Linked DNA regions of Stegostoma tigrinum. The protein of the gene in region 1 interacts with the protein of each later gene in a biochemical or structural test. Links are inferred from orthologs where the notes say so. Each region holds a gene or a part of one and is shown on either strand. Other genes may lie near its edges. The genes, in order: signal transducing adapter molecule 1 and beta-arrestin-1.

Evidence for each region.
Region 2: the proteins of signal transducing adapter molecule 1 (region 1) and beta-arrestin-1 form a complex in vitro, tested with the Homo sapiens proteins (2 studies listed by BioGRID). The link is inferred for Stegostoma tigrinum from reciprocal best matches to the Homo sapiens genes STAM and ARRB1.

What each region holds. Positions count from the first base shown.
Region 1 is NC_081355.1:115,188,844-115,204,436, reverse strand, and holds the start of signal transducing adapter molecule 1, read right to left. Parts: upstream 8,392-15,593; 5' UTR 7,682-8,391; coding exon 7,642-7,681; intron 1-7,641. UniProt on the Homo sapiens protein: Involved in intracellular signal transduction mediated by cytokines and growth factors. Upon IL-2 and GM-CSL stimulation, it plays a role in signaling leading to DNA synthesis and MYC induction. May also play a role in T-cell development.
Region 2 is NC_081359.1:109,443,109-109,459,008, reverse strand, and holds the start of beta-arrestin-1, read left to right. Parts: upstream 1-9,167; 5' UTR 9,168-9,502; coding exon of another isoform or gene 9,503-9,522; intron 9,523-15,900. UniProt on the Homo sapiens protein: Functions in regulating agonist-mediated G-protein coupled receptor (GPCR) signaling by mediating both receptor desensitization and resensitization processes.

The DNA.
Region 1 (15,593 bases):
AGATGACTTTCCACATTAAGCAGAGATTCACCTGCACATCTGCCAATGTGGTATACTGCATCCACTGTACCCGGTGTGGCTTCCTCTACATTGGGGAAACCAAGCGGAGGCTTGGGGACCGCTTTGCAGAACACCTCCGCTCGATTCGCAATAAACAACTGCACCCCCCCAGTCGCAAACCATTTCACCTCCCCCTCCCATTCTTTAGAGGACATGTCCATCATGGGCCTCCTGCAGTGCCACAATGATGCCACCCAAAGGTTGCAGGAACAGCAACTCATATTCCGCTTGGGAACCCTGCAGCCCAATGGTATCAATGTGGACTTCACCAGCTTCAAAATCTCCCCTTCCCCCACCGCACCCCTAAACCAGCCCAGTTCGTCCCCTCCCCCCACTGCACCACACAACCAGCCCAGCTCTTCCCCTCCACCCACTGCATCCCAAAACCAGTCCAACCTGTCTCTGCCTCCATAACCGGTTCTTCCTCTCACCCATCCCTTCCTCCCACCCCAAGCCGCACCTCCATCTCCTACCTACTAACCTCATCCCACCTCCTTGACCTGTCCATCTTCCCTGGACTGACCTATCCCCTCTCTACCTATACTCTCCTCTCCACCTATCTTCTTTTCTCTCCATCTTCGGTCCGCTTCCCCCTCTCTCCCTATTTATTCCAGAACCCTCACCGATGAAGGGTCTAGGCCCGAAACGTCAGCTTTTGTGCTCCTGAGATGCTGCTGGGCCTGCTGTGTTCATCCAGCCTCACATTTTATTATCAAAATTCCTGGTGGCATTCCAACTGGAACTTCATTAACAAACACATGAACTGGACCGATGTACATACCACTGAAAAAAACTGAACTGGAAGTGGTGCCAACCACCCCAGCAAACCAAGGCACATAAACAACAAGCAGGTCAGAACACCAACGCTTCTCTTGACACACAGCGATGGTGCTACCTAGCAGGGTGATGAAACATCCGCAATCAAACACATCCGGTTCGGCGAGCAATCCGACAACCTTCACATTACCTCAGATTCTTTAAAATTCGAGAGAACAGAGACTGGAAAATCAGAGTCTCCCTTCATTAGATAGTCCCACAATGCTGATGAACCTTCATTGTGCTCCCCCTATGATATTAATACGCTTCCTAATCTAAGGGGACCAAAACTGCACACAGTACAACTCCATTAACTGTCTAACCAAGACTCTACAGAATTGAGGCAATACTTTGCTTCCTCTGGACTCATACTCGTGATGAAGGGCAACTTACCATTAGTCTTCTTAATAGCTCGCTGCAAACGCACGTTAGTCTTCAGTGACCTGTTGATAAGGATACCCTGATCCCTTTAAACATCTACACTCTCTCAGTTCTTAGAGAAATATTTTGCACACCTGTTCCTCTTAAAAGTTGGATATTCTAATATTTTCTGACAATAGATACCATCTGTCATGTTCTTGCCCACACTCAAAGTCTGGCAAAATACTCTTAACACCAGTTTATAGCTTTCTTTTAACATACACCTACCAACATAGAAACATTATATTTGGTCCTCACTCCCAAATCACTGATATATACTCTGAATTCTAGGGCCCATGGAAGTTCCAAATGAATGACAGGAGGCCAATCAACACAGGTTCAAACAACTTAAACATTGTTAGAAAGCAATACTTTATTATGACTCAGAGTTATGCAGTCAACCAGTCCAAGTCGAGCATAGTCCCAAACTAAACTAGTGGCACCTGTCTGTTCCTAATCCATATGCTTCCAAACCTTCCCTATTCACGTACCAATCCTTTTGAATGCTGTAACTGTACCCACATCCACCACTTCCTCACATGCGAACCATCCTGTGTAAAAAATCTGCCTCATGTCTTTTTTAAAATCTCTCTCTCCTCTCATCTTAAAATGTGTCCCCTAGTCTTGAAATCCCCCATCTGAGGGAAAAGACAAGTACCGTTAACTCTATACCTCTCATTATCAAATCATGGTTTTCTTTAGGATAGGGGGGAGTCCAAAACTAGAGGGCATAGGTTTAAGGTGAGGAGGAAAGGTTTACAAGGGACCAGAGGGACAACATTTTGACAGAGTATGGTGCATGTATAGAATGAGCTGCTAGACAAAATGGTCGTGGGTACAATTATAACATTTGGACAGGTACATGGACAGGAAAGGTTTAAAGGGATGTCGGCCAAATACAAGCAAACAGGACTAGTTTGGTTCAGGATACCTGGTCAGCATGGATGAATTTGGTCAAAGTGCCTGTTCCCATGGTCTATGACTCTACGTCTATTAAAAGTACCTTAGTCTTATTTGAATATATAGCAAGAGGGATTTGTGCATGGATCTGATGTCACAAGAGTTCACATGTACCTTCTCACTAAGAAATTCACTGAAAACTGACCACAAACAATTGTTAATGATTGGCACAAACTAGTGATGATTGCACTAGCTAGACTAGAGTGTGACAATTTTCCATAAAAATATAAGAATATGACTTTGATGTCTGTTACAGATCAGGTAGCAAGATGGTTACTCTGCTTCCCTCTGCAAAGATGCTATCAGAACTGCTTAGTATTTCCAATCTTTTCTATTTTTGTGCAAAACAAAAATCAGATTATTTATCTCACTCACTTTTTTCTTGATCCCATTGCATGCAAGTTGACAATGACAGTTCCTTACAAAACAGTGGTTATATTTTAAAAGCAACTTGATTAGCAGTAACAGTACTAAGGTTGAGGCACGTGTCATTTAACAGTTCATGTTTTCAGTTTCTCATGCAAGACAGCACTTAAGATTACTAAAGGAACAAAGAAAAACAAACAATTTTAGGGATCAGAAAACCACATAAATTGACAGATTTAAATGTCTCCCACAGTTTACGTTAATGTCCAAGGTAACAAGTTGGTCGAAGTGAGGTTAGCCCCCAAATTCCATAAAATCAAAAAGTAACAGTAGTGTGCTTTCAAATGTTAAAATCTGTCCTTATACAGAAGCCAGTCTCTGCTCAAACTATGATCTATAATCTATGACCTAACTCCATAATATCCAAAATATTCTCCTTTGCTCCATATCCCATAACGCAAAAAGAACAAAAATAAACCTATCGACCTCAATTTTTAATTTAACAATAGATGTAGCATCAAATGTCATTTACAGAAGAGAGCTCCAAACTTGTGTCAAACATTGCCTGTGGAGTTATTTCCTAATTTCACTCCTGAAAGGCCTGATCATGACTTTTAGACTCAGCTCTCAATTCTAAAGACGTCAAACAATGGAAATATAGTTTCCATCTATCCCATCTGTTGCCTTGAATATCTTGAAAACCTAGATCAAATATACCTAATAGACCTCCTAAGTTGCAAAAATTGTGACCTTGGTTTCTCATAATTTAATCTTTAGTCATAGAAAGAGAAAACAGGAGCAGGAATGGACCACTCAAACTTTCAAGCCAACTTTGTCACTCAATATGATCATGAATAATCATTCAACTCAGTACCCCCTCCCATATGACTTTACCCTCGACCACCAAGAATTATATCTAACTCCTTTAAAAAGTTTCATTGCACTCTCTCAAAAGGCCAACACATCTTTAACGTATTGAGTCCAAAGCTGCTAATAACATTTCAGATCTTGTGTGTGTCTTTGTCCTGCCAAACTATGATTTCTACCCCTCCAAAGGCCAGTAATCCATTTGCTTTTCTGATTACTTTCTGTAGCTGTTTACATTTTACTGTAACTGGGCTCCCAAGTCTCTAGGGCCTCCACTTCTTCAATCTTTGCCAAAAGAACTCTTTTCTACTCCTTTTCACGTCGAGAGTAGTTGCTACCACACTTAGTTGTGCTGAAGCCATTCACCACCTTCACTGTGGTGCCCATTCATTTCGAATCACCTTATTTTTGTGATGTAACACTTACACACTGTCGTAACATCACCTACTTCGGCATCAACTAAATTGGACGTGTGGTATTCTATCAAATGATCTAAATCACTGATAAATGGGGTGAGTAATTCAGGCCACCAATATAGAGACATACTAGTTACCACTAGCCTCAACTTGCCAATTAGAATACCTACTCACCTTCCCTACTCTTGTCTCCTGCAGCTCAGTCAATCTCCCAACCAAGTCTTTGACTTATCTTCAATTCCACGAATTTCAACATACACTAGCAACCTGCCATGAAGAACTTTTTCGAATGACTTCTGGAAGTCCAAATGTAACATCCGTAGACATTTCTTCCCCTGTCCGCTAACTCACATTTTCAAAATAAATTCAAACAAATTTGTCAGGCATGAATTATTATTTTACAAATCCACGTTGAATCCCTCTGATCAGCTGTAAATTTAAGTGGCTCAGTCCTCCTCTCCTTAATAGAAGACTCTAGAAATTTCTGTTTGACAGATGTAATCTTTAGTTCTGAACTATTAGCCTAACATGATTCAACTGCTTAGAAGATAACAAAGTGTGAATAACAAAAGCTGACGTTTCGGGCCTAGACCCAGAGACCCTCAGCTTTTGTGCTCCTGAGATGCTGCTTGGCCTGCTGTGTTCATCCAGCTTCACACTTTGTTATCTTGGATTCTCCAGCATCTGCAGTTCCCATTATCGCAACTGTTTAGAACCTTTGAGAGACAGCACTTGGTGTATTCGGTGCAGTTTCAGCCCCCTTACATCAAAAAAAAGAGATATACTTTCTCCAGCAGGAATGCAGTTGAGAGTCACCAGATTCATCCCTAGGAAGGCAGACTTTCCTATGAGGGGGGATTGAGGACTCTAGGCCTGTATTTTGTAGAGTATAGAAGCAAGAGATGTCAAAGCAAAATGCTTACAAAATTCGTAAAGGGTATTACAGGGCAGGTGCCGAAAGATCTTGCCCCTTGGTCTGGAGTTCTACAACTAGTGGACAGTCTCAGAATAAGGAGCAAATCATTTAGGCCTAAGGTAAGAAAGAATTTCAGAACTCAGAGGGGAATGAAACTTTGCAATCTTCTAACCTAATGCTCTGCTATTAAGAATATCATGATAGAGGACACAACAAGCACAATCCATCAAAGCACCAAGAGATTTGCTAAACATGATTTCTCTTCCATAAATCCATGTTAACTTTATCCAATCTGCCTCCCATTATTTTCAAAATATCCTGCTATCACATCCTTTAATATAAATTCTAAGATTGTCTTCACAACTGATGTCAGGCTAACAGGTCTAGAGTTCTGTTTTCTCCTTCCTCTTTTTCTTAAATAGTGAGGTTACATTTGCCATTTTCAAACCCACAGCAAACATGCCAGAGTTTACAGAATTTTGAAGGATGGCCACCTCATCATCATCATCCCCACAGCCACCTCATTCAAAACTCTGGTATGTTCAGCATGGCAGGTTCAAGTCTACTTAAAGTCCGATTAAATTTTCTGGTACTTCTTTTTAAAATTTGTATTAACTGGTCCCTAGATTTGCCATTATTTCTGGGACAGTTTTAGTAATTTCTTTGGTGAAAACAGGCAAAAAGCATTTGTTTTGTTTCTCTGATAAACAGAGTAGATAATCTAAAATAGTAAAGCAGACTCAAGAGGAGGAATGGCCTACTGCAACTATGTTCCTTATTGATCCAAATTTTCCTGGTTTCACTCTCATACCATGCTTAAATGCAGCCAAATTGCACACAGTAAGATTCCACAAACCACAATGTAACAATGAAATAAGTCATAACCTAGTGTACAGCTGAATGAACACAGCAGGCCAAGCAGCAGAGGAGCAGGAAGGCTGACGTTTCGGGCCTAGACCCTCCTTCAGAAATGAAGAATTTCTAAAGGGTCTAGGCCCGAAACGTCAGCCTTCCTGCTCCTCTGATGCTGCTTGGCCCAGTGTTCACCCAGCTCTACACCTTATTATCTCAGATTCTCCAGCATCTGCAGTTCCTACTATCGCTGAATCAATGAAATAAGTCAAGTGGATGACACCAAAATTGGTGGTATCGTGAAGTAAAAAGGTTATTGAAGAGATCTTGATCAGCTGGGCCAATGGGTCAAGGAGTGGCAGATGTCGTTTAATTTAGATAAATGTAAGGTGTTACATTTTGGTAAGACAAACCAGGATAGAAGCTACACAGTTAATGGAGTGTCGTCGAACAGAAGCCTAGGGGTGCACGTACATTCTTCCTTGAAAGTGGCAGGACAGGGAAACAGGGTGAAGGCAGCAGCATTTGGCACACTTGCCTCCATTGGTCAGAGCATTTAATATTGGAGTTGGCACATCATGTTTCAGCCGAACAAGACATTGGTGAGGCTCCTTTTGGAAAGCTGCGCACAATTCTGGTCAATCTGCTATAGGATGGATGTTATTAAATGTGAAAGCTGCAGAAAATATTTACAAGAGCATTACCGAGACTGGAGAGTTTGAGTTATGAGGTGGTAGGCTGGAACCTTTTCCCCCCTGGAGTGCAAGCTGAGGAGTAACCTTGGAGACAATCATAAAATTATAAGGGGCATAAGATAAGGTGAATAGCCAAAGGTCTTCCCCCACCCCCGATAGGGGAGTCAAAGAGCAGCGGCATAGATTTAAGGTGAGAGAGGAAAGGTTTAACAAGGACATGAGGGCAACCTTTTATACAGAGGACTCCCCTTTGTTCTATCCCTTTCTATATGGCATGGATAGAGTTCTGCTAGTTCCAAGAAAAACTTTGCTTAAATCATTATTAATTTATATGTACTCTCTACAGAAGCCAACCTATTTCCAGCATGTTTCTGTTTAGATAAACTGGAACTAGTTTACTGCAAGTCTTTTTTCAAATTGCTGTTTCACAATTTTTCCACCCAGTTTGTCCCAAAATTTTAAAAAAACTCGAAAAATTGTTGCTCCTCATCAGCACAAGTGTAGGAAAAGTGCACATGCTCTTATTTAGGCAGGATAAGCAACCTCCAAAAGGATCTGCCTCAATCTTACAATTACAATACAGTACGATTTGGCAGTTAGCTCAGTGGGGTTCATCTCTTGTTTCCATTACCTCCCATGAGGGAAGGGAGTAATTGCAAAATTTGTCATGACAATTATTAGTAAAATTAAGGTGACAAGCACCACAATCTCTAGTTTCTCAAACTCCTTACAAAAATTTACATTTAACTTACCTTAAATCAATATTAAAATATCATTTACAAATGCTTTATGCACTTTTTAAAAATCAATTACGTTTTTCAATCCAAACCTGTCTGCTCTGCATTGTTTACACGATCCTGCAATAAGGAACCTGAAGCATGCTGTGATTTTAAGACCGATATTTCAACTGGACTTTTACGTTTAAAATTTAACCGAAGCTTTCAAATGATGTATTTAAAGCAAAATAAAATTTGAGCCGCTTGAATTTAAATGAGACAGTTTAATCTCAGGTTCGGTGTTCTTTGCCCCTCAAGTGCATTTATGACGCTGAATGATTTGATTAGGAAAGCAAAACTTGACCAAAATATCGTACCCAAATTTCTCACTCGGTCCTTTTGCAAACAAAAGGCCCACATCTGCGAACGCTGCCTGAATCCCTCTCCAACAGAAGCATCGTACCTTCATATCGTCAACTTCCAAGCAAACACTGGGAACACACAGCCCACAGGCCAGCAATTCGCAGATTACAATTTTAACCCGCAAAAGGACTTACCAACATCTTGATCGAATGGATTGGCGGCAAAGAGAGGCATCTCCGAAGACTGTATATACGTGCGTGCGGCTTGTTGCAGTCTAACTGCCCCCTAGGTTGTGTCTCCAATGTCGGTTGGAACGCCTCACACTCCCCGACTCACTCCTCCGCCAAGAATCGCCCCGCATCCGAGCCCGGAGTGACTTTCAACGGCAGCTTCGGCCCCAGCGGCGCACGCGCGCTCCCTCCCGAGCCGCGTTCTGCGCCCGGCACGAGCCCCCCGGCTGCGTTCCTTCCCCACTCCGGCCTCAAGCCTGGTGGTGTCGGCCCTACCGCCAGCTGATCCGTTTCACAGGCAAAACGCAGTATTGTTCGGAAATCAGAGGCCGCTTGCACCTCTGCAGCGGAATGGCGAAAAGAAGAGATTAGTGATAAATCACTGAACTAGCGGTGGGGAAGCATAAAAATAAATGCAATACGGGTTCGTATTTTTAAGCATCAGAAAAACTGAATCGAACCAATTGCATTTGCATTTTATTGTCAACACTCATGCCTCTCCACCCCCTTTCACTGCATTTCCAATCCGGCGAAATGCTAATATAGCCCTGCGACGTATCTCAAAGCCTCCAGCGCTAAGTGTAGATACTGCTGTCTTTCTCCACCTGTCGGTGTAATCAGGGTCAGCGGGTCTCTTCCAGCTGAAAGTGCGAAAATCGTGCACGATACCAACGAATACTCCCTTTACAAACGCACTGGAATAAATTATTTTCTTTTTAAATAAATACCAAACCCTGTAAAAGAACAAAACACGAGGATTACGGTAAAAGTAAATGACACTGTCCCGCAGGTTACGTAAAACAAACCCCTGTCTTTAGCAGTAGACGATATTGAAGGTAATCAATTTTAAAAAGTCTGATCCCATTTTTCTCTCTTCCAATTTACATTAAAATGTTGAATTTTAGCATTAAATTTGATGCAGTGAGTTTTATTTTACACGCAATGATTACCAATTGATACATTTTATAGCTTTAACGAAGGAAAGTAATAAGTATTTTCAACAACAGGGCAGGAAAGCGGACGTGAGAAGTTTCGGATCAGTCATGACCTTATTGCATCTTCTTCGGCTCGAGGGCCCGAAACTACTTTCAAATTTTCCTATTTAAATTTAAATCAGAAAGGCACTACCCGCTACTAAAGCCTCTATATGAAGACGGCAGACTTTTTGAATCCATTCCGCATAATTTGCAAATCGAATAATACTCAATTTAAATGCTGGCTAACAGTCAAAAGTGTAAAAGTAAATAAGTGGGTGTGTTCTTACAGCCCTGTTTTAATGTTTAGCGTGACTTTTCTTCAGAGAGAGGTATTAGCTCTGGTGTCCAGGCCTTTAGTACTGCTGCTTGGATATATTCAGGACTCCTGCTGTGTCTGGTTCTCTCCGACTGTTTTGCAATGCGGAGTGAATCAATTTCCCCAAATACTGATATTTCTGAAGAAAGGAACTTTGGAGCATAGAAATGATTACAATCACAAGTCAGGTGAGAGTTTGGGACTGTTCTCCTTGGACAGAAGGTTAAGAAGAGATCTGAAATTTTCAAAATTGGGAAAATCTGAATAGACTAATTATGAAGAAGCTGATGTCACACTTAAAAGGATCGACAATGAGAGGGCACAGATTTGAAATGATTGGCAAACATAGCAAAAGTGATGTGAAAAAAGAAAATACTTTCACATAGCAAGGTGTTTGGGTCTGGACTGCAATTCTGGTGAAGGCAGAGTCATATGAGGTATTCAAGAGAAGATGTAATTCGAATAGAACCAATGTGCGAGGGTATGGGGTAAATGCAAATAAATGGCATTCAGTCATAATGCTCATTGAAGAGCCAGTGCAGACATGTTGGATGCAATAGCCTCAAAGAATTATACAGGCCCATAGTCTTGAATGTTGTGACATTTCAAGGTTCATCGAAGTATTTTTTAAAAGTTGTGAGGTTTGCTGCCTCAACTACCCTCTCAGGCAGTGCATTCCAGATGCCCACCACTCTCTGAGTAAGATTCTTTTTCCTCACAACCCCTCTAAACCATGCTAACTATCCCTCTTCAAACCTGTCATGTTAAAATTATGCCCCTGTCATTGACCCTTCAAAAGATGGGAACAGCTGGCTTCTAACCTAATATATACCTCTATCAGGTCCCCCTTCAATGTTTTCCTTGGGGTACAGCACAACCCAAACTTATCCAACCTCTCTTCATAGCTAAAGTGTTCCATCCCTGGCAACATCCTGGTGAATCTTCTCTGCACCTCTTCCAGTACAACCAGTCTTCTGTTGCGTGGCGAGCAGAACTGCATATCTGTGGCCTATCCAAAGTCTTATACAGCTCCAACATATCCTCCCTACTCTTATAATCTGTTATTTGACTGATAAAGGCAGGTATTCTGTGCCTATTAACTTGCCCTGCTGCCTTCAGATATTTGTGGACCAATGTCCAAAATCCCTCTGTTCCTCAGATCTTCCTCATGTCCTGCCAGTCATTGAGTACTCCTTTGTTTTGTTACTTCTTCCAAAGTGCATCACCTCACATGTATTAGTGTTAAATTTCATCTGCCACTGATTTATCAATCTGACCAATCCTTTTATATCCTCCTGCAACCAAAGACCACCTTCTTCACTGTCAACCAATCTTTGTGTCACCTGCAAACTTACTTATCATCTTCCCGACACTCTCCCCTATATCGCTTGTATGTAACTATATTAGAAACCATAAGGGATCCAGCTTTGATCCCTGTGGTACACCATTGGTCTCCAGTCATACAAAAATCTCTCCCATCACTGTGTGTCTCCTGACAGTCCGCCAGTTTTGGATCCATCTTGCCAAATTACCCTAGATCCAAAAGCATTTGCCTTCTTTATCAGTCTCCTATGTGGGATCTTTTCAAAAGCTTTTCTGAAACCCTTATAAACCACATCAACTGCCCTCCCCTCATCCACACACTAGGTCAACTCCTCAAAAAACTCAATCAAATTTGTTGGGCTTGTCCTTCCTCTGACAAAGCCATGCTGACTATCCTTCTTCAAACCTTGCTTCTTTAAATGAAGATCAATTCTCTCCATCAGGATTTTCTGCAATAGTTCCCCAGGATTGATGTGAAACTCACTGGTCTGTAATTCCTTGATTTATCTACATCACCCTTCCTGAAAAATGGAACCACATTAGCTGTCCTCTAGTCCTCTGGCACCTCCCATGGCCAACAGCAATTCAAAATTTGGGTCAGAGTCCCTGTGATTTCCTCCCACACCTCCCACAGCAGTCTGGGATATAACTCATCTGGACTTGGACATTTGTTTACTTTTAAACCCGCCAAAACCTCCAATACCTCCTCTCTCCCTTTTTAAACAGCTCAAGAATTTCACAGATCATCTTCCCAAATCCTACACCTAAACTCTCTTTTCCCTGAGTGAAGACAATTGTGAAGTACCATTTAACACCCTAGCAATGTCCCCTGGCTTCAGGCTTAGATTGTCCCCTTGGTCCCAGTAAGCCCAATTCTCTTCTGTTTATTCTTTTCCCTTTGATATACTAGTAGAATATCTTGGGATTCTTCCTAATCTTACCTGTCATGACCCTTCTTTGCTCTTCTAATTGCTTTCTTAAGTTCCCCCTTGCACTTTCTATGTTTCATCCATTGATTTGCTCTCTTTGTACTTGTTATATGTCTCTCCTTTTCTTTTTATCCAATCCTGAATATTCCTAGATATCCAATGTTCTCTGGGATTGTTGCTTCTACATTTCACCCTGTTAAACTGTATTCTCCCTAATTCCTTTTGGAATACCTCCCACTGTTCGACTTTAGACTCACACTCATGTAGCTGTTCCCAGCCCTCTTTGTGAATTTGCTTTCACCCAATGCAAGTCCCGTTTTTGCAGACCATCTTTTTCCTTTTCCATTACAAATTTAAAATGTATGATGTTATCATCACTATCATTAAAGTGGTCCCCTCAAACACCTGCCTGGTTTCGTCACCCAGAATTAGGTCAGCACAACGCTGTACGTTGTAGGATCATCTACATGTTGACATTAAAAGCTGTCCTGGATACATTTCAAGAAATCTGTCCCCTCTAAACCCTTTACGCCATGACTCTTCCAATTAGTGTTGGGGAAATTGAAATCCTTTAATGTAATTACCCTGTTATTGTTTTTGCACACCTCAGTGAATTGTCTACATATCTGATCTTCAATTGCTCATAGACTGTTTGGAGGCTTATCTAAATTCTACCTACAAAGCCTCATTTGACAATCCTTCCAAGATATCATCCCTACCTTCTGCAGTAACTCAATCCTTAAATAATAATGCAACACCGCCTCCTCTTTTACACTCTCTCCTGTCCTGCCTGAATATCCTTTACTCCAGAATGTTGAGATGCCAGTTCTGTTACTCCATCAACCACATCTCTGTGATGTCAACAACGGTGTAATTCCATGTGTCAATCCGTGCCCTTAACCCATATGGCTTACCTATAATAGCATAGCATTAATGCAGAGGCCATCCTGCCTCACCTTACATCCTTGTGGCTCAACAGGTCTGAACTACCTCAGTCTAGGTTCCCATTTTGGGCCACGCCACTACTGAACTGTGTTCCCTGCCCTTGCTGAGCTAGTTTAAACTCTTCCCAACAGCACTAGCAAACATTCCCGCAAAGATGTTGGCCCAGTTCTATTTCAGGTGCAACAGTCCGACTTGTAGAGGTCCCATCTTCCCCATAAACGATCCCATGGTCCAGGAATGTAAAACCCTCCTTCCTTCACCAACTCTTGAGCATTCACCTGCCCTGTTCTCCTGTTTCTGTACGAGTTGGCATGTGGTACTGGGGATAATCCAGAGACTACAACCTGAGAAGTCATGCTTTTTAATCTACTGCCTAGCTCCCAGAACTTGATGCAAGATCTCATCCCTCTTTTACCTATCACTGATAGCAAAGTATATCATAACCTCTGTCTTGTCATCCTCCCACTCCACTATGCCCTTTAGCCATTCAGTGACATCCCTGACCTGGCACCAGGAAGGCAACACACCATCCTGGAATCATGCCACCGGCTGCAGAAATGCCTCTCTATTCCCTAACTAATGAATCCCCTGTCACTAAAAGTCCTGCTTTCTTCTTTCTCCCTTCCTTTACAATCAGGTAGCTTCATGGTGCCAGAAGCTTGGCTCTGTCTGCACTCCTCTGAGGAAAAAGCACCCCTACAGCTTCCAAAATGAGAAAGTGATTTATCAGCAGGACCCAGGGCACTCCTGCATTACATGCCTGTTTCTCTTTGACTGCCTGATGGTCACCCATTCCCTTCTTATCTCCAATCCCCTGAGCTGTGAATACCTCTCCAAACATGCCATACAAATAACTCTTAGTCTTTTTCTATACTGTAAGAATTCTGAGTGTCTATGATGTGCTAGACTTTTCATAGCCCTATCATGAATCAGCCCTCCTATGTTCTCTTGATGGAGGCTCATGGTCATAATCTGCCAGTTTCCTGCTTTCCTCTTCCACCGCGTAAATTCTGGTAAATTGTGTAACAATCTTGTAAATATGTACATAACTCACAAATTCAATGCAAATGAGACCTGAGTGTTAATAGGGTCGAGCATTTTGCTGTCAACATTTTTTATTTTTATACAGCATTTTATTTAAATTAAAATATATTTAATCTTTCTCCAGTTGAGAGTCAGATTTAAACTTTTCTTGAATTGAAATAATCCACAGCTCCTATTTAAATGTAGCTTGGATTTACGCAAGACATTTTTAAATCCATTTGTTACCATTTTGGCATTTTTATAAATAGTAAGAATGCAATATAGCCCATCTGAAATGCTACTTTATAAAATCAAGATAATTGGGTAATATATACATAATTACTGATGAAGGTGGAGCCTCAATTATTTACAATTTATCTCAATGACTTGGATGAAGAAAAAAATACTGTTACAAAATTTGCTGATGATGAAAAGATAGGTAGGAGAATAAATTCCACAGTGGACATAAGTCTGCAAAAGCAAAGAAATTGGTTAAGTGAGTGGACAATTATTTGGCATATGATGTATAATTTGGGTGTAAACTTTCCTATTTGGCAAGAAGCATAGAAAAGCAGCATATTATTGAAAAGGCGAGAGATTACAGAACACAGAGCTACATAGGAATTTGGTTGTCCTGAGACAGAAATCATAGAAATGTAACATACAGATAAAGTAACAGGCTATAAAGGCAAATTGAATGTTGACATTTATTGCAAGGGAAGTTGAGTTTTGCCACAGCTTCGTTACAGTTGCACGGGGCATTAGTGAGACCACATTTGGAGTACAGTTTGGTCTGCTTATTTGAGAAAGAACTTAAATGCATTTGAAACAGTTCAGAGAAAATTAACTCGATTGATTCTTTTAATAGTGAGGTTATCTTATTTGGAAATATTGGACAGATTGGGCCTGCTTCCCTTGGAGTTTAGAAAGATGAGTGGCAATATAATTGAAACATGTAAGATCCTAAGGGGACAGAGTGGATGCTGAATGGTTGCTTTCTCTCATGGGAAGGTCCAGAATGAGAGGACCCAGATTAAAAATAAAGGCTTACCTACTTAAGGTGAAGGGGATTTTTTTTCTCTTTCAGATGATAGTGAGCTTTTGGAACAACCTTCCGAGACAATGTTGTTGGCAGCATCACAGAATGTTTTTAAGGCAATGGTAGATATATTATGGACTAACAAGAGCCAATGATTATCAGATGTAGGCAGGAATGTGGAGTTGTGGCACAATGAGATCAATCAATCTTATTGATTCGTGGAGGAACGGCCATGGAGCAAATGGCTCATTCCTTCGCCTACGTAGTATGTTCATATGCCGCATTTTAGAAATAAATGTCAGGTATCTTTTTAAAATTTCTTCATGCTACTTTCAGTTCTTACAAGACACCAAAGAACTCTCATCAAATTGAAGTGGGGTTTCTCATTTTCAAATTTCTTTTATTTTTGCGGTCATTACATATCTATGTATTTAATACAGACCAAGTCTCCACCTATCTTCTCCTCTATCCATCTTCGATCCACCTCCTCCTCTCTCCCTATTTACTTCAGAGCCTCCTTCCCCTCCCCCTTTTCTGATGAAGGGTCTGGGCCTGAAACGTCAGCTTTTATGCTCCTAACATGCTCTCTGGCCTGCTGTGTTCATCCAGCTCTACACTTTGTTATCTCAAATTTTCAACCAATCTTCTTGCCAGTACTTTTTTAATATTATTGCTTGGTAGTACAGAACCTAAACATTGCTAAAAAGAGAGAAGTTAACGCCTTTCATTTTGCACTCATTGACAGAACAGGAACAGCAGCATGACAGGAACATCTCTAGAATCATCCTTTGTAGCATCAATGATGTCTACATCTGAACTGAAATAGAATCTAACTTTCGCACAGTAGTGCTGAAAGATTGCTTCTATCCCCATAGTTTTCCTGTCCATACCAGGAGAATGGATGACAGAAACTGTAGGACGAACAGTAAAACAGGTAGGAGTGTTGCACCATGCAAAAACGGCACAGTGAATCCCAGAAACTATAGCATTTATAGTATTGGGTATCACACTCAAGGACATAAGAACATAAGGGCTAGGAACAGGGGGAAGCATTTCAGCTCCTCGAGCCTGCTCTGCCATTTAAATATGATCATGGCTGATCTCATCTCGGCCTCAAGTCCATTTTCCAGCCCACTATTCATAACCCTTCAACCCATTAAGATGCAGTGTGACACCTGTGAAGATCAAAGCTTATAATTTTGTGTCAGGTGTGGCATCAATGCTATGGAAAATATCACTAGCACGTACAGCGTTATGTGACTAGGATAAATACAATAAAGGGATCAGGTACTTACGTCTTCAGCGGGCAACAATGTGCAGCTCTGTATATAAGCAGACCTGGGGAGGAAATAAAAGTAGGCCAT
Region 2 (15,900 bases), on another chromosome or scaffold:
CTGTGTCTGTGTGGGTTTCCACCAGGTGCTCTGGTTTCCTCCCACAGTCTAAAGATGTGCAGGTTAGGGTGGAAGAATTTTTGAAGGAGGGTCTAGGCCTGAAATGTCAGCTTTCCTGCTCCTAAGATGCTGCTTAGCCTGCTGTGTTCATCCAGCTCCTGGTTATCTCTGTTGCCCATCCTGTTGTCTACATGGTATGATTCTGTCAGTATGACGATATCAGGCTGTTGATTGACTAGTCTGTCAGCTTTAGCACAAGGCTAATGAGCAGGACTTTGCAAGGTTGACAGGGCTGTTTCTGCCATTGTCTCCTCCAGTGCCTAGATTGACTCAAGGGGACTGGCGTGGTTTCAATCCTTTGAAACTTTCTCACAGTGTGATGTAACTGAGTGGCTGTGCTGGGTCGTTTCACAGGGCAGCTCAGAGTCAACTACATTGCTGCGGGTCTGGAAGCCACATCAGATTTCCTTCCCTAAACGGCATTATAATGAACCATAGATAGTAGGAGCTGTAGACACTGGAGAATTTGAGACGAACCAGATGTGTTTTGAGCATCAATGGACAATGGCTGGAAGTTGACCAATACATCAGCTCTTTATTGAATGCAGATTTCACCATTTACCATGGTGGGATTCAAACCCATGTCTTCAGAACAATGGCCTGGGATCTTGGATTGCCAGTCCAGTGACATTACCGCTAGACTATTCCCCTTCTGTCCTTCGTGATTTAAAATTACGCTTAAACGTCTTCAGTCTGTGGAAGACAATCCCAACTTCTCCAGTCTCTCCATATTCACTGAGAACCCTGGAAAAGTTGTCCTCACTCCATGGCCTTGGCATCTCCTATGACTCCCATATTCCAGGCTTGATGTGTCAGTGATGGCTCAGTGGGCAGCACTCTTCCTTCTGAATCTGAAGGTTCCAGGTTCCTAGGACAGCAGAACTGATGTATGAAGGGAGACGGGATTGTCTCGAATAATATTCACTAGAAGAATGGGGAAATCTCATAAAAACCTATAAAATTCTAATGGGACTAGAGAGGATAGACATGGGAAGGATGTTTCAGATGACCAGGGAGCCCAGAAACAAGGGTCGCAGTCTAATGGTACAAGTTAGGCCATTTAGGACTGACATGAGGAGAAATGACTTGACCCAGACAGTGGGGAGCCTGTGGAATTCTCTGCCACAGAAAGCGGTTGAAGCCAAAACATTGGATGTTTTCAAGAAGAAATTAGAGATAGTGCTTAGGGCTAAAGGGATCACCAGGTATGGGGGAGAAAACAGGAACAGGGGACTGAGATGAATGGCAGAGACACTTCAAAGTGCTGTTTAGCCTATTCCTTCTCCTATTTCCGCTGTTTCAAAATTTCAAGCCCTGCTCTAGGAGTCAGGGTTGATATTCCATGGCAATGCAGAGTGATTGCAGGGCTGTTGGAGGTTCTGTCTTCCCGATGAAACATTAAACCAAGGCCCCCCACTTGTTTTTTGGGTGTAAGTATTGTGTTCCTTGATATTGTTTCAAAGAGGAGCAAATGAGACATCCCTGAGGCATTGGTGCCGGCCACAATCAACGTTACAATAATACAAAGATCATTTGGACGTTATGACACAGTTGTTTGTGGGATCTTGCTGTACAGAAATTGGCTGCTCTGTTTCCTCCGTCCCAACAGTGAGTACACTACAAGAAGTGTTTTGTTGGCTATAATACACTTTGAGACATTTGAGTCTCTGAAAAATGCTGTATAAAATTAAAATCTTTCTTCCTCAAAATGAATTGTGAAATGCTCTTGTCAAATGAAAGCCAATGTGTGCGTCTATTTTTCAAAGACCCACTATGCCTCTTCTATCTGGCACATCTGTACTCACTTGGGGTCTCTCTCAGTCACCTTCCTGTTTGTACAAATATTGATGGAAGATCACCTGCCTCTGCTGACTGTTGTAATAAATAGTCACTTGGTGGCACAGAACTGATTTAGGTATTGCACGGAGAAAAAGAGCCATCTTGCGCTCACCAGCACCGATGCAAGAATTCTAAATTTCAATGTTGTGGAGGTGCCAGTGTTGGACTGGGATGGGCAAAGCCACACGGCATCGGGCTGTAGTCCAACAGATTTATTTGAAATTACAAGCTTTCAGAGCTCTGCTCCATTGTCTGTGGAGGGAAGTGCGCAGACACAGAATTTGTCTGCTTCCCTCCACATCAGCCAACAAAAGGAACAGTGATTTGAAGGCTTGTGTTTCCAACTAAACCTGTTGGATGTTAACCTGGTGCTGTGTGACTTCTGACTAAATTGCACAGGGCACAACAATTCGTAGTGCAGGGAAGAAGGGTGCCAGTTGGTTGGAGAGTTGACTCTGTTTGGTTCAGTTGAAGATTGTCAGTCAGGCCCACTTGATGTTGGCATGAAGTGACTTTTACTTATATCCAGGGTTGCCTCCTCTGCTGGGAGAGCAAACATGCCCTGGCTTTGTAATTTCCTCAATTAAACAAAGTCATTGGGTTCAAACTGTTCCCCAGAGCATTCCCAAGAGCAAGGTCTCAACTTACCAACCGTGAGCACCCATTTCACTTGTAGGATAAATCCCTTTGAAGTTTGGCATTCTTGCCATTCTATCCTGATAATGAATGTAAAATGAAACACTTCAACAGCATTTCAGTGATACTTTGGTCATGCAAAGGCAGGAGTTATACAACTCTTATATACCCAGGAGATAAGTGGAGAGGAGATGCGTGTTCATGACACTGTGGTGGTTTGATTGCTGGGATTTGGGAGAACTGAGCAGGCTCTCTCTTGGTCTCCAAAACCTCCTCAGTCAATGATACAGCACTAGATTGGCCCAGAAATACTAGCTGTCAGTATCTTTGCTTCAGAATGTTCTCAGCTGCAGGCCAACATCGCAGCAGAGCAGTGAATGGGGGATTTTTAACAACAACTTAAAGTAACCAATAGTAACAGGTTTGGGTAATATTGGAGCTCCAGTGGGCCATCCAGCCCCTGTTGTGCTGTCAAATTAATGAGATTATGGTTGATCTGTGTCCTAACTCCTCATTTCTGCTGAGGCCCCATAACCTTTAATATTTAGGGATAATATTCCGGGATTAAGCCTTACCCTCCACCTCGAGCTGATGGTTCGAGCTCTGGTTCAAAGCAAGAGACTCGCTGAGGATGAGGGTTTGATTGCATGCAGTGTCTCCTCATCTTAAAACCCACTAAACTAATATAATGTTTACATTCTTTAAATATTGTAAAGAATTTAATTCTTGCAAAAGTACTTCATTTATACTTTTAACATTAACATTCATAGTTTTGTATTTTTATTAAATAAATAATTGTGTGTCACTTCTCAGTGGTGAGTCTGTTCTTTATGATCACTATCCAGATATTTGTTCGTTTAACTCTCAAACTTTGGTCCTCTTGAAGTTTCAACCCTCCCTGAAGATTTGACTCCTGTCACATTCAGGATAGCAGTATTTCTCTTCAACATTCAGTGTTGTTTCCGGTACAGCTGAGTTGTTCCCCCAGTTGTCACTATTTCTATTCCATGAATTCCCAGGAATGCAGCTTTAATTATCTGCCATGAATGAATGGATTAGCTTGACATTGAACAATATCTCCATTCAGTTCTGCTGCTGAGAAACCTGGAACTCTGTCTCTCCCACCTCAGACGTTCACTCCCTCCACCACTTAATGCAGTGTGGGCCATCTACAACATACACTGCAGAAATTCACCAAGCCTACTTAGCACCTTGTACACACAGGCCCGGATGATCGTCTGGCCCCACAGGGTCTCCCGCACTGGGACTGTCATCTCTGTTACCTTGCCTGACTATGTTTATGCCTTGGTTCATCTGCTACAGTAGACCTTGCCTGAGCTTCGGTTCCCTCAGACTACGATCACACGCTCCAGATCAGACTCCCACCTTCCACTGATCTCATCAAAATTCGCTGGCTTTATCTGGTTCCATTCCAGTCTGTTTGGGTCCTGACCTGGTTCAAAACAGACACGTGGAAAGCGGGAGCAGGATTAGGCCTCTTGGACTGTTGAAGCTACTCTGACTTTCAACATATTCATGCTCTGACCCACTATCTCCGTCGCCACGTTCCCACCCTCTCCCCAAGCGGCTTGATGCCTTTAGCTTCTGGAAATTCCACAGATTCACCTCACCCTGGGTAGAGAAATATTTCCTCACTTCAGTCCCAAAAGGTTTACCCTGTATCCTTAGACTTTGTCCCCTGGTTCTGGACTCCTTGCTCATCAGAACTGTTTTTCCTGCAACTGAACTGTCCATCAACAGTCATAGAAACGTTCAGTAAAGAAACAGACTCCTTGGTCCAACTTGTCCGTGCCAACCAGATATCCTAAATAAATCTGGTCTCATTTGCCAGCATTTGGCCTGTATCCCTCAAAACCCTTCCTTTCATATACCCGTCCAGATGCCTCTTAAATATTGTAATTCAACTAGCCTCCACCACTGCCTCTGGCAGCTCGTTCCTTACATGCACCACTCTCTGTCTGAAAAAAGTTTCCCCTTAGGTCCCTTTTAAAATATCCCTTCTCACTCTGTACCATCTAGTTTTGGACTCCCTTAACCTGGGAAAAAGACTTTGACAATTCACCTAATTCATGCCCCTCATGATTTTATAAACCTCTATAAGGTCTCCCCTCAACCTCTGCCACTCCAGAGAAAAAGTCCCAGTCTATTCAGCCTCTCCCTACGGCTCAATCTTTCCAACCCCAGCAACATGTTTGTAAATCTTTCCACACCCTTTCAAGTTGAACAACTTGTGAGAATTTTATGCGTAGTGCGTTTTGAGAAGATTTGTAGCTCAGGTTGAGGTTCTGGATGTGAGTTTGCTCGCTGAGCTGGAAGGTTAGTTTTCAGACGTTTCGTCACCATTCTAGGTAACATCATCAGTGAGCCTCTGGTGAAGCGCTGTCCCGCTTTCTATTTTGGGTTGGTGATGTCATTGCCTGTTCTTTTTCTCAGAGAATGGTAGGTAGGCTCCAAATCATCAAATATTTGGAGTCTATCTACCATCCTCTGAGAAAAAGAACAGGAAATGACATCACCAATGCAGGAAATGACATCACCAACCCAAGGAAACCTAAACCGTTAAATAGAAAGCGGGACAGCGCTTCACCGGAGGCTCACTGATGATATTACCTAGAATGGTGATGAAACATCTGAAAACTAACCTTCCAGCTCAGCGAGCAAACTCACATCCAGAATTTTATACATTTCAATCAGATTCCCCCTCTCATTCTTCTAAACTCCAGTGGTTGCTTTTCTGATCTAGCGTCTAGGCCCAAAACATCAGCTTTTGTGCTCCTCAGATGCTGCTTGGCCTGCTGTGTTCATCCAGCTCCACACTTTGTTATCCCTTGATAATACATGTGGTTTGTCAATTTCCATTCTAAACCAATCCAGCTGGAGTGACTCAATCTGGTAAGGCATTCAAAGCTATGGAACAAGTGCTGGAAAGGTGGGATTAGAATAGTTAGATGGTTGTTTTCGATTGGCACAGACTTAATGAGCCATCGATCTCTGTACCTCTATGTCCCGCTGGTTCCATTGAATTCAACGGTTGAGTTCCCATCTTAACTCAACATGAACATTCAGGTGAGGAGCTGAAGTTGGCCCCTGGAGCCTGTTTCACAATTTAATGAGATCATGGCTGATATAAGTGCATCCTTGATTCCACATTCCCAATTACTCCCAGTAACCTTTCACCCCCTCGCTTGTCAAGAATCTAGCCATCTCTGCTTTCAAAATATTTGGACACTGTTTCCCCCACCTGCTGGGGAGACTCTCAATCCCCTGAGAGAAAGAATCGCTCCTCATCCTTGACTAACATGGTGACCCTTTAATTTTTAAAAAGCGATCTCTGAGTTCTAGGTGCTTCCACAAGAGGAAGCATCTTTTCACATCCATCCTGTTAAGTGGCCTCAGGATCTAATATGTTTCAATCAAATTGTTTCTCAATCTCTAAACTCCAGCGGATAAAAGCCTTGCCCGTCCAGCAGTTGCTCATAAGGCATCCTGTCCATTCCAGATATTACTTTGGTAAACTTTCTATGAACTGCTTCCAATGGATTTACGCCCTACCTTAAATAAGACGGCCAATACCTAACATAGTACTCCGGATGATTTCACCAGAGCCCAGTGTAACTGACCATTGACCACAACTGGACTGGACTTGCCATTTCAATGCAATGCTCAAGGGTAGGTCAGAGGCTAGGAATTGTGCAGCGAATAACTCATCTCTTGATTCCCCAAAGCCTGTTCACCAACTACAAGGCACAAGTCAGGAGTGTGATGGAATGTTCCCTAATTTCCTTCATGAATGAAGCTGCAGCAACACTCAAGTTTGACGTCATTCAGAAAAAGTAGCCCCCTTGATTGTCACCAACATCCACAAACATCTACTCCTTTCGCACTGTTGCTCAATAGTGTGTACTATCTACCATGTGCACTCCAAAAATTCACCAACACACCTAGGACAGCACCTTCCAAACTCATGACCACCAATTGGAGGGACAAAGATAAATGGGAATACCACCCCCTTTAAGGTCCCTCAGAGCCATTCGCCATCCTAAGTTAGAAATATATTGCTGTACCCCCAGTGCCACTATGTCAAATCCCTTGGGGTTTCTCATGGCAGTGTGGGTTTACCGACCGCACGTGGGCAGCAGCAGTTCAAGAAAGCGGCTCACCACCAATTTCTCAAGGGGCAAGTACAAATGGGCAATAAATGGCTGCTATTGGCTGGACCAGTTCACAGTCCACCCATCCTGTGCACTGCGTCCAGTTATGACAAATGCAAGCCACACATCACATGTTGAGCTGACTTTGAAGGGACGTCTTCAAATATTTACCTTCCCGCCCTCCAAAGAAGAATCCTCAACAACCATAATAGATTTCACATCAAGGAAGAAAGAATCTGCAGATCGCTCAGTTGAGGGTGTGAAAGTTTTTCACCAACAGTTCAATCAAAGACAGCAAATGAAAATGGTCAAACTAATATGAACAAGCTGAAGTATTAACCCAACACATTTCAGCATAGAAGGGTTGAGTCTAAAGTTTCAAAAATGTGAGGCGTTAACATTAAAATCTACAGAATTGTTACAGTGAATGAGCAAAATTGAGGCATTTGTCTTTTGAACAGAGATTGAGTTTAGACCAATACTCATTTGAGTTAAGAAGAACGAGAGGAGATCCAGTTAGAGTTTATAACGTGCTAAAAAGTGTTCTCAATGTAGATTTGGACAGGATGATTCCCCTTGTGGGGCGATCTGGAAAAAGAGGTCATAGTTTTATGAGAGACAGTAAGAACTGTCAATGCTGGAGTCTGAGATAACACAGTGTGGAGAAGGGGGAACACAGCAAGCCGGGCAGCATCAGAGGAGCAGGAAAGGTGACATTTCAGGTCAGGATGCTTTTTCAGAAAAAAAAATTATGAGAAGGTTTGACAGATTTAAAGAAATGAGGTGGAATTGCTTCTCACAAAGGGTCATGAATCTGTGGAATTCATTCCTCTAGAGTGTGGTGGATGCCGGGACACTGAATACATTTAAGAAGGGGTTAGATAGATTTTTAATTAGTAACAGGTTGAAGAGTTAAAGAGAGTGGGCAGGAAAATGGACTTGAGGTTGAGATGAGATTAGCCATGGTGGTATTGAATGGTGGAGCAGGTTCAAGGGGCCGAATGGCCTATTCCTGCTCCTAGATCTTTCCTTTTGGAATACGGCACACAATTCTGGCCATCCATTTATAGGAAAGATATTGGTAAATATGAGAAGGTGCAAAAGAGATTTACAAGGATGTTGCAGGCTTGGAAGGTTTGAATTATTGGGAGAGGCTGAATAGCCTGAGGATTTTTTTCCCCAGGAGCGTCGGAGGCTGAAATGTGACCTTACAGAGGTTTATAAAATCATGAGGGGCATAGATAAATTGAATGACAAGGATCCTTTCCCTTGAGTGGGGAAGTCCAGAACTAGAGGGGCAGAGGTTTAAAATGAGAGGGAAAAGATTTAAAAAGGACATGAGGCATAACTTTCTCACGCAGAGAGCAGTGTGTGAATGGAAGGAGCTGCCAGAGGAAGTGTGGAGGCTAGTACAATTACAACATTTAAAAGGCATCTGGATGGATGTATAAATAGGAAGGGTTTAGAGGGAGATGGGCCAAATGTTGGCAAGTGGGGCCAGATTAGTTTAGAATATCTGGTCAGCGTGGACGTGTTGGACCGAAGGGTCTGTTTCTGTGCTGTGCCACTCAATGGCTCTATGAATCCATGAATATTTCAGTTGCAAAATCTCACCACTTTTCCAATGGATATGTGTATAATTGTGGATGTGTAAATAACCTACAAAGGGTACAGTTTCCCCTTCATTCTTTCAGGGTGTCACTGGCTACAACCAGCATTTGTTGCCCATTCCTAATTGCCCTCGAACTGAGAGGCTTGCTCAGCCATTTCAGAGGACACGCATTGCTGTGGGTCTGGAGTCACGAGTAGTCCAGACCAGATAAGGACTGCAGATTTCCTTCTCTAAAGGACATCAGTGAGCCACCAATGTGTACAGCTGGATGACCACAGCAGGCCAAGCAGCATCAGGGGAGCAGGAAGGCTGACGTTTCGGGTCTAGGCCCTTCTTCAGAAAATCTGCGAGCCAGATGGGTTTTTCAACGATGGCTGATGTGTTACTGTCATCATCACCGAGACCAGCTTTAAGTTCCAGATTTGCTCCAATCCAGCTGTTTCGTGGTTACAATAGTTTCCAATTACAAATTTGTTGAATTGCACAGTCACTGCTATGGGATTCTGAGCACATGTTTATACATTATTGGATTCTGACACCACTACTATGCTACCATTCCTGTAGATGTGCCTGTCTGCACACTTTGTTAATCTCCATCCATATTAGGGAATGTTTTTCTGTTTCTTGTATCTGGTATAGTGGTAACTATTCCTCTATTATGTCTGGTTATGTCTGTCCAGTCCTGAACTGTTCTCTGTAAATCTATTAGCACTCTCCTTTCCCCAGAGTTGGGGTGTCTGGGGGGGTGAGGTATTAATTCAGGAGGCTGTCAAAACCATAACCCTTTTCTGCCCACGAATCAGTCTGTATAATGGTTGGTTCGGCTTTAAGCAGAGCTAGGCGTGGGGATGTCTGTGTGTGTGTGTGTGGAGTAGGGAGTCTGACTGTGTGTGTGTCGAATATGCAGCAAGGAATGACGGTGGAACTGAGCAGTAGGGATTTGGGATTAACCCTCCTCCGCGAAAGAAATTTATCTGTTTAATTATCAGATAAGGGAGGGGTGTGTGGCCGTCGGGAAGAAAAGGAATGTGAAGAGAAGTGGGAGTGGACGAGATTAAAGGCGATAGAGAGACAGCAATAAACAGGGGCTGTCTGAATTAAATCTCAGTTGTAGCTTCCGAGGGCTCGGCTCTGATCTGAAATTCCGGGGTTCTGTCCACGAAGCTGGAAAGGCAGCAGAATAATGAGTGACAAAGGCACAAGGTTTGTGAGATTTCTGTTTTATTGGATGCTTAAAACGCAACTGGAAAGGGGAATGGTTAGAACGGGTTGAGCTCCAGTCTTGAGACTGGGATGCAAACTGGGAGAGAGTCTCCTGGCTTTATTTGTAAACCTTGAACATTCTCAATCAGTCTGTTGCTAATAACATAGGGGGAGATGGTGGCCTAGTGGGATTATCTCTGGACTGTTACCCAGAGACCCTGTTATTCTGCTGGGTACCTGCATTCAAACCCTGCCATAACAGAAGGAGGAATTTGAATTCAATAAAAACAAAACTGCAATTAAGAATCCAATCACAATTGTCATTAAAAACCCATCTGGTTCACTAGTATCTTTTCTTTTAGTAAGGAATCCTTACCCAGTGTGGCCATCAATGTGGTTGATACTCAACTGACCTCTGGGCAATTAGAGATGGAAAGTAAATGCTGGCCTGGCCTGTAACACTCACCTCCCATGAATAAATGAAGATCAGATTTTTCTGGCATTTTTGAGTTTAATTTTTCACGATGATGTTGTTTTCTTCGTGCTACCATTGCAATGTTTGCTGCTGGTTAAAAGCTTTTGAATGAGACTCTGAGCTAAGATCCTGGGGTTAACTGGTACTAGGATTCAATTTAAAAGCCTTGATGATCGCGGGGTGGGGTGGGGTGGGGATAGATGGGGATTTGTCACAGGATTGTTTGAAAGTGATCCCCCTCCCGTTTTTAGATCCCTTTGATTCCTGTTCTGCCAACTCTTAGATATTCCGGTGGATTACCATTTCTCCCCCCGCCCCCGCCACTCTTCTCTCTCTCTCATTTTGGGATACAGCATGTTCCAATTTGAGGATTCCAAGTGGATCACATAATTACTTTCTTGTGGCTGTCCAACCTTCAGCTGTGATGAGAAACAACAGCAGGAGGAGGCCATTCAGCCCCTCTATCTATCCTGACACCCAGAAGGACAAAGGCTGTCCTATGACTTCACTTGCTTTGCCTCCCTTTACCAAGTGAAGGGGAATCTGAGGATGTTGGATATGAAATGATGCATCGGGCTGCGAGTCTCCTCTGGGAGAGGGTATTCCACATTCAGCTCAAGATTCAAAAGTATGAGGGTATGCGTAAGAAGCAAACATGGTTTGTGGAGTTAGAGCAGGAGAGAGCCAGAGAGTGGGGTCGAAGAAGATAAGAATGTTCTCCTTCAGGAAGAGAAGGCTCGGGGGAAGAATTAATAGAGGTATTTGAAATCATGAAGAACTTTGATCGAGTCGATCAGGAGAAACTGGTTCCGTTGGGATGGGGTGGGAGGGGGTGGTTTGGTGTGGTGGGTCGAATTGGCAAACCTAAAGGCCACACATTGATGAGGTTTGAGCCAAAAGGAGCCAACATTTATCTGACGCAAGGGGTTTCTGTGATCTGGAATGCACTGCCTGAAGGGGCAGTGGAAGCAGATTCAAGAGGAACTTTCAAAAAGACCTTGGATGAATTCTCAAACACAAAAGGGGGAGAAGGGAAAACCAGGAACTGGAGAAAGATGAAGAACAAACAAAGCTGACTGCCTGGTGTATTCTAAGAGTGGGGACAGATATAATGGACATCCCAGTTCACTGAGTAATAGGGAAGAAAAATAACATGTTGGCCTTTATTTCAAAGGGATTGGAGTATACAATTTTGGAGGTTTTGCTAAAACTACACAAAGCATGAGTCAGACCACAGCAGGAATACTGTGAATAGTTTTTGATTCCTTTATCTAAGGAATGATATACGGGCATTAGAAGCAATTCATAGAAAGTATGCTAGGTTGATAATAGGTATGGAGGGACTGAGGAGAGGTTGAAAACATTGGGCTTGTACATGTTGGAATATAGAAAAATGAGAGGTGACCATTTTGAAACATACAAGATCCTTACGGGACTTGACATGGTAGATATAGAGACATTGTTTCTCCTTGTGAGAAAGTCCAGGACCAGAGGGCATCATTTCAGAATAAGGGGTCACACGTTTAAGAGTGAGATGAGGATGAATTTCTTCTCTTAGAGGGGAGTGAATCTGTGGAATTCTTTATTGCAGAGGGCTGTCGGAGCTGGGTCATTAGGTATATTCAAGGTGGAGATAGAACGCAGGAGAATGGAGTTGAGGAATCTCAGATCAGCCACAATCTCACTGAATAATGGAGCAAACCTGATGGCCTACTTCTGCTCCTCTCTCTCCTGGTCAGAATGGCTGCGATCAGTGATCTATGATTTTTCACTTCTCCCTAAGGAAAGCTTTCATTCTAGCTCTCGGTATCTGTCCTCAGGGTTTACTTTGAGAACATGTCAATAATTGGAGATGTGAATTTTCAGAGTGGGTGCAGTCAGCTGTGGGCGTTAATCTTCTCTGAGTCCCCTTGTTCCGGTCCCCACCCTCAGCCCAACCCCAACTCCCAAGAGAAGAAATAAATTCTCTCTACCTATCCTATTCATTCCTTGGGTAGGGGGAGGTAGTGACAAAGCAGGAATGTCATTTGTCCAGTTATCCAGAGCCCCAAGCTGTTCTTTGGGGAACATGGGTTCTAATCCCATCATGGCAGATGGTGTAGTTTAAATTCAATAAAAAGTTGCCCTAATGGTGACCACATAATTATTGTCGATTGTCTGGTTCACAGATACGTGTCGGGGGTCAGTTTGTTGGGCAGCTGATTTAGGGGCTGTTGAAGTGCAGTGATACTGTCCCTATCTCTGAACTAGAGAGGCCCGGGATTGGGTGTTGCCTGCTCCAGGGATCAATAATAAAATCTCTGAGCAGGTAGAGTAGACAATATCTAAATTGTGATAATTTGACATTTTTGCATTTGTCCTAATGATTGAAAGACATACACCGCCTTCAGTCCCCTCTTTCTGAGCGGCAACGACACCTTTTAAAATCTTTAGGGAGGGAAATCTGCCGTCCTTATCTGGTCTGGCATATATGTGACTCCAGTCCTACAGCTATGCGGTTGTCTCATAACTGCCCTCTGAAATGGTCAAGCAAGCCTCTCAGTTCACAGGTAATTAGGAATGGTCAACAAATGTTGGTCTCACCAGCGATCTTGTGAATGAATATTAAAAATAACACCTGAATTAGGCTGCTGGTTGTCTTCTAATTTACAAAATTACAACAACAGAAACGGAAGTTGCTGGAAAAGCTCAGCAGGTCTGGCAGCATCTGTGAAGAAAAAAATCAGAGTTAACGTTTCAATTCTGAGGAAGGGTTATTAGACCCGAAATGTTAACTCTGATATTTTTCTTTACAGATGCTGCCAGACCTGCTGAGCTTTTCCAGTAACTTCTGCTTTTGTTCCTGATTTACAGCGTCCGCAGTTCTTTTGGTTTTTGTCATGAAATTACAAGATTCCTTTTGCAAACTGCTCTTACGGTTGTATTTGCAAGGGTGGGGAGCAAGGGCAGGAGACACAGATGGGGAGCAGTGGGTGTGTAGTACAAATTTGATAGCTGTTCCAAAGAGCTAGCACAGTGACACCACGCAGAATAACCTGCCCTCTGTGCTTGCTGACTGGATGATTCAGAATATCACTGGGTACTCATCTTGTAAAGGGTCATGTGGGAGATATTTTGTGAATTCCACTACCAGTTCAGGCTGCTGTAGAGCGTTGCTGATCAAACAGGAATGCTGAGCTGGAGGCGATTAAAGATCAGAGCCAATTATGCTTTCCCGTTCGTACATTCACTGAAAGTGCAGATATTCCCACCCCATGTGTAATCCTGAATCAAACGCGTCAGTTCTTGGCAAGTGTTGTATGTTGATCACAATGTACAGGAACCATCTGCACCACATAAAGGAACATCTGTTGAATGAATAGCTGTGTTGCAATGAAATGGACATTTCTCAAAAAGGCAATGGATTTAGTGTTTTTTTTGATATGGATGTCATTGTTCTGCCTGAGAGTCACCACCTTCTTGCTTGAATCCATCCCTTTCCCCTTCTATTCCCCATTTTCTGCTGGACCATTCAGAGGTGACAGAGGTGTCTGCATTTACACCAGGGTGGTTGGTGAGTTGCCAACAATCCTACAACATGCTTACCTTCAACCCAAATACCTCCTGCCATAAGACCATATGGCGTAGTAGCAAAATAGGCCATTTAGCCCATCAAGTCTGCTCTGCCACTCAGTGAGATCGTGGCTGGTCTGATAATCCTCAACTCCATTCTCTTACCTCTCCCCAGCACCATTGATTCCTTTATGATCAAAAATCTGTCTATCTCAGCTTTGAATATACTTAATGACCCAACCTTAACAGCCCTCTGAGGTAAAGAATTGCACAGATTCACTCCCCCCTGAAAGAAGAAATTCCTCCTCAACTCTGTCTTAAATGTGCGGCTCCTTATTCTGAGATGATGTCCTCTGGTCTTAGACTCGCTCACAAGGGAAAGCAAGCTTTCCACATCTACCCTGTCATGGCCTCTAAGAATCTTACATGTTTCAATAAGGTCATGTCTCATTCTTCTATATTCCAACGTGTACTGGACCAGTCGACTTAGCCTTTCATCATAAGGCAGTCCCACAATACCCAGGATCTGTCAAATGAACTACCTCTGGACTATCTCCAATGCCAATATATCTCCCCTTCGATAAAGGGCCGAAAACTGTTCACAGTTTTCTACCTAGTGTTCTGGCTAGTGTCTTATCTCGCTATAGCAATGCCTCCCCGCTTTTGCACTCCGTTCCCTTTGAAATTAAGTTTGAATTGTCACAAACAAGTTGGTGGAGGTCCATGATACAGATCCTGCTACTATTCCTCTCCTCAACCAGTGGAGCTAAGGCAAATATCCACTTAGTGTGGACTCGTGGTGTGGTCTCTTAGGGACCGTGATCCCCTTTGTGAGTTTATACATTAACCCATTAGCTCTGTGTTTAACATTGTAGCAACCTTATAAAGACTACATCTCAGGATTGAAAAGGGCACATATGGCAATGTCATGGTAATGATGAATAATCCAGAGTTAAATGCTCATGGCTAAAATTGTACCAGAGATAATGGGAACTGCAGATGCTGGAGAATCCAAGATAATAAAATGTGAGGCTGGATGAACACAGCAGGCCCAGCAGCATCTCAGGAGTGCTCCTGAGATGCTGCTTGGCCTGCTGTGTTCATCCAGCCTCACATTTTATTATCTTAAATGCTCATGGCAATCAGTTCAAATCCTATCATGGCAACATTTAATTAAGAATCCGAAATATAAATGTTATGCGAAGCAATGCTGGCCATGACAAATGTACTGAAAGTCTATTTGGTTCACTGGTTTTCTTTGAACCCAAAGCAATGCAATTGGCTCATAAACACCATCTGAAATGAATGTGAAGATGGGACTTTGTCCCGACAAGGATTATGGTTACTTCTACCAATACTGTCATGGATAGAATGCATCTTCTGCCAGGACACTGGTGAGGGTGAGGCCCACTATGTTTTTCCCTCTTGGTACATCCCTCACCACCTCCTGTACACCCAGTCTGGAAAGGCATCTGACTGAATGTGACAGCAAAAAGCCCTAGCGAACTGGAGTTATTGGGAATTGGGTTGGAGTCGTAACTGGCACCTTGGAAGGTGATTGTGGTTGTTGGAGGTCAGACATTTCAGCTCCAGGACATCAATGCAGGAGTGTCTTAGGGTAGTGAGCTAGGTCCATCATTTTCAACAGCATCATCAATGACTTTCCCTAAGGTCAGTATGGGGATGTTCACCGATGATTGCACAGTGTTCAGCAACACTCATGACTTCAAATACTGAAACAGTGCATGTCCAAATACAGCAGGACCTGGACAATATCCAAGCTTGGGCTGACAAGGAGCAAGTAGCGTTTGCAATCATAGGCTCTAGATTATCTCTAAGAAAGAATATCTAAACATCATCCCATGACATTCAATAGTGTCACCATCACTGAATCCCTCACCATCAACATGCAAGGTTCTACTGTTAACCAGAAATGGAACTAGACTGGCCACATAAACATAGTGACTACAAGAGCAGGCCAGAGGTTAGGAATACAATGGCAAGTAACTCACTTCCTGACTCCCCAAATCTTTTCCCAAACTACAGGGCACAAGTGTGCTCCTGAGATGCTGCTTGGCCTGCTGTGTTCATCTAGCTCCACACTTTGTTATAGAACATATAGAACATAGAACATTACAGCACAGTACAGGCCCTTCGGCCCTCGCTGTTGTGCCGACCTGTCATACCAATCTGAAGCCCATCTAACCTACACCATTCCATGTAAGTCCATATGCTTGTCCAATCTTGGATTCTCCAGCATCTTCAGTTCCCATTTTCTCTGATCACAATTTTAGCCTCACTGCGAAGCCTCTTCCATGGATGCCTAACCTGAAGAAGTTACCCTCCGGACC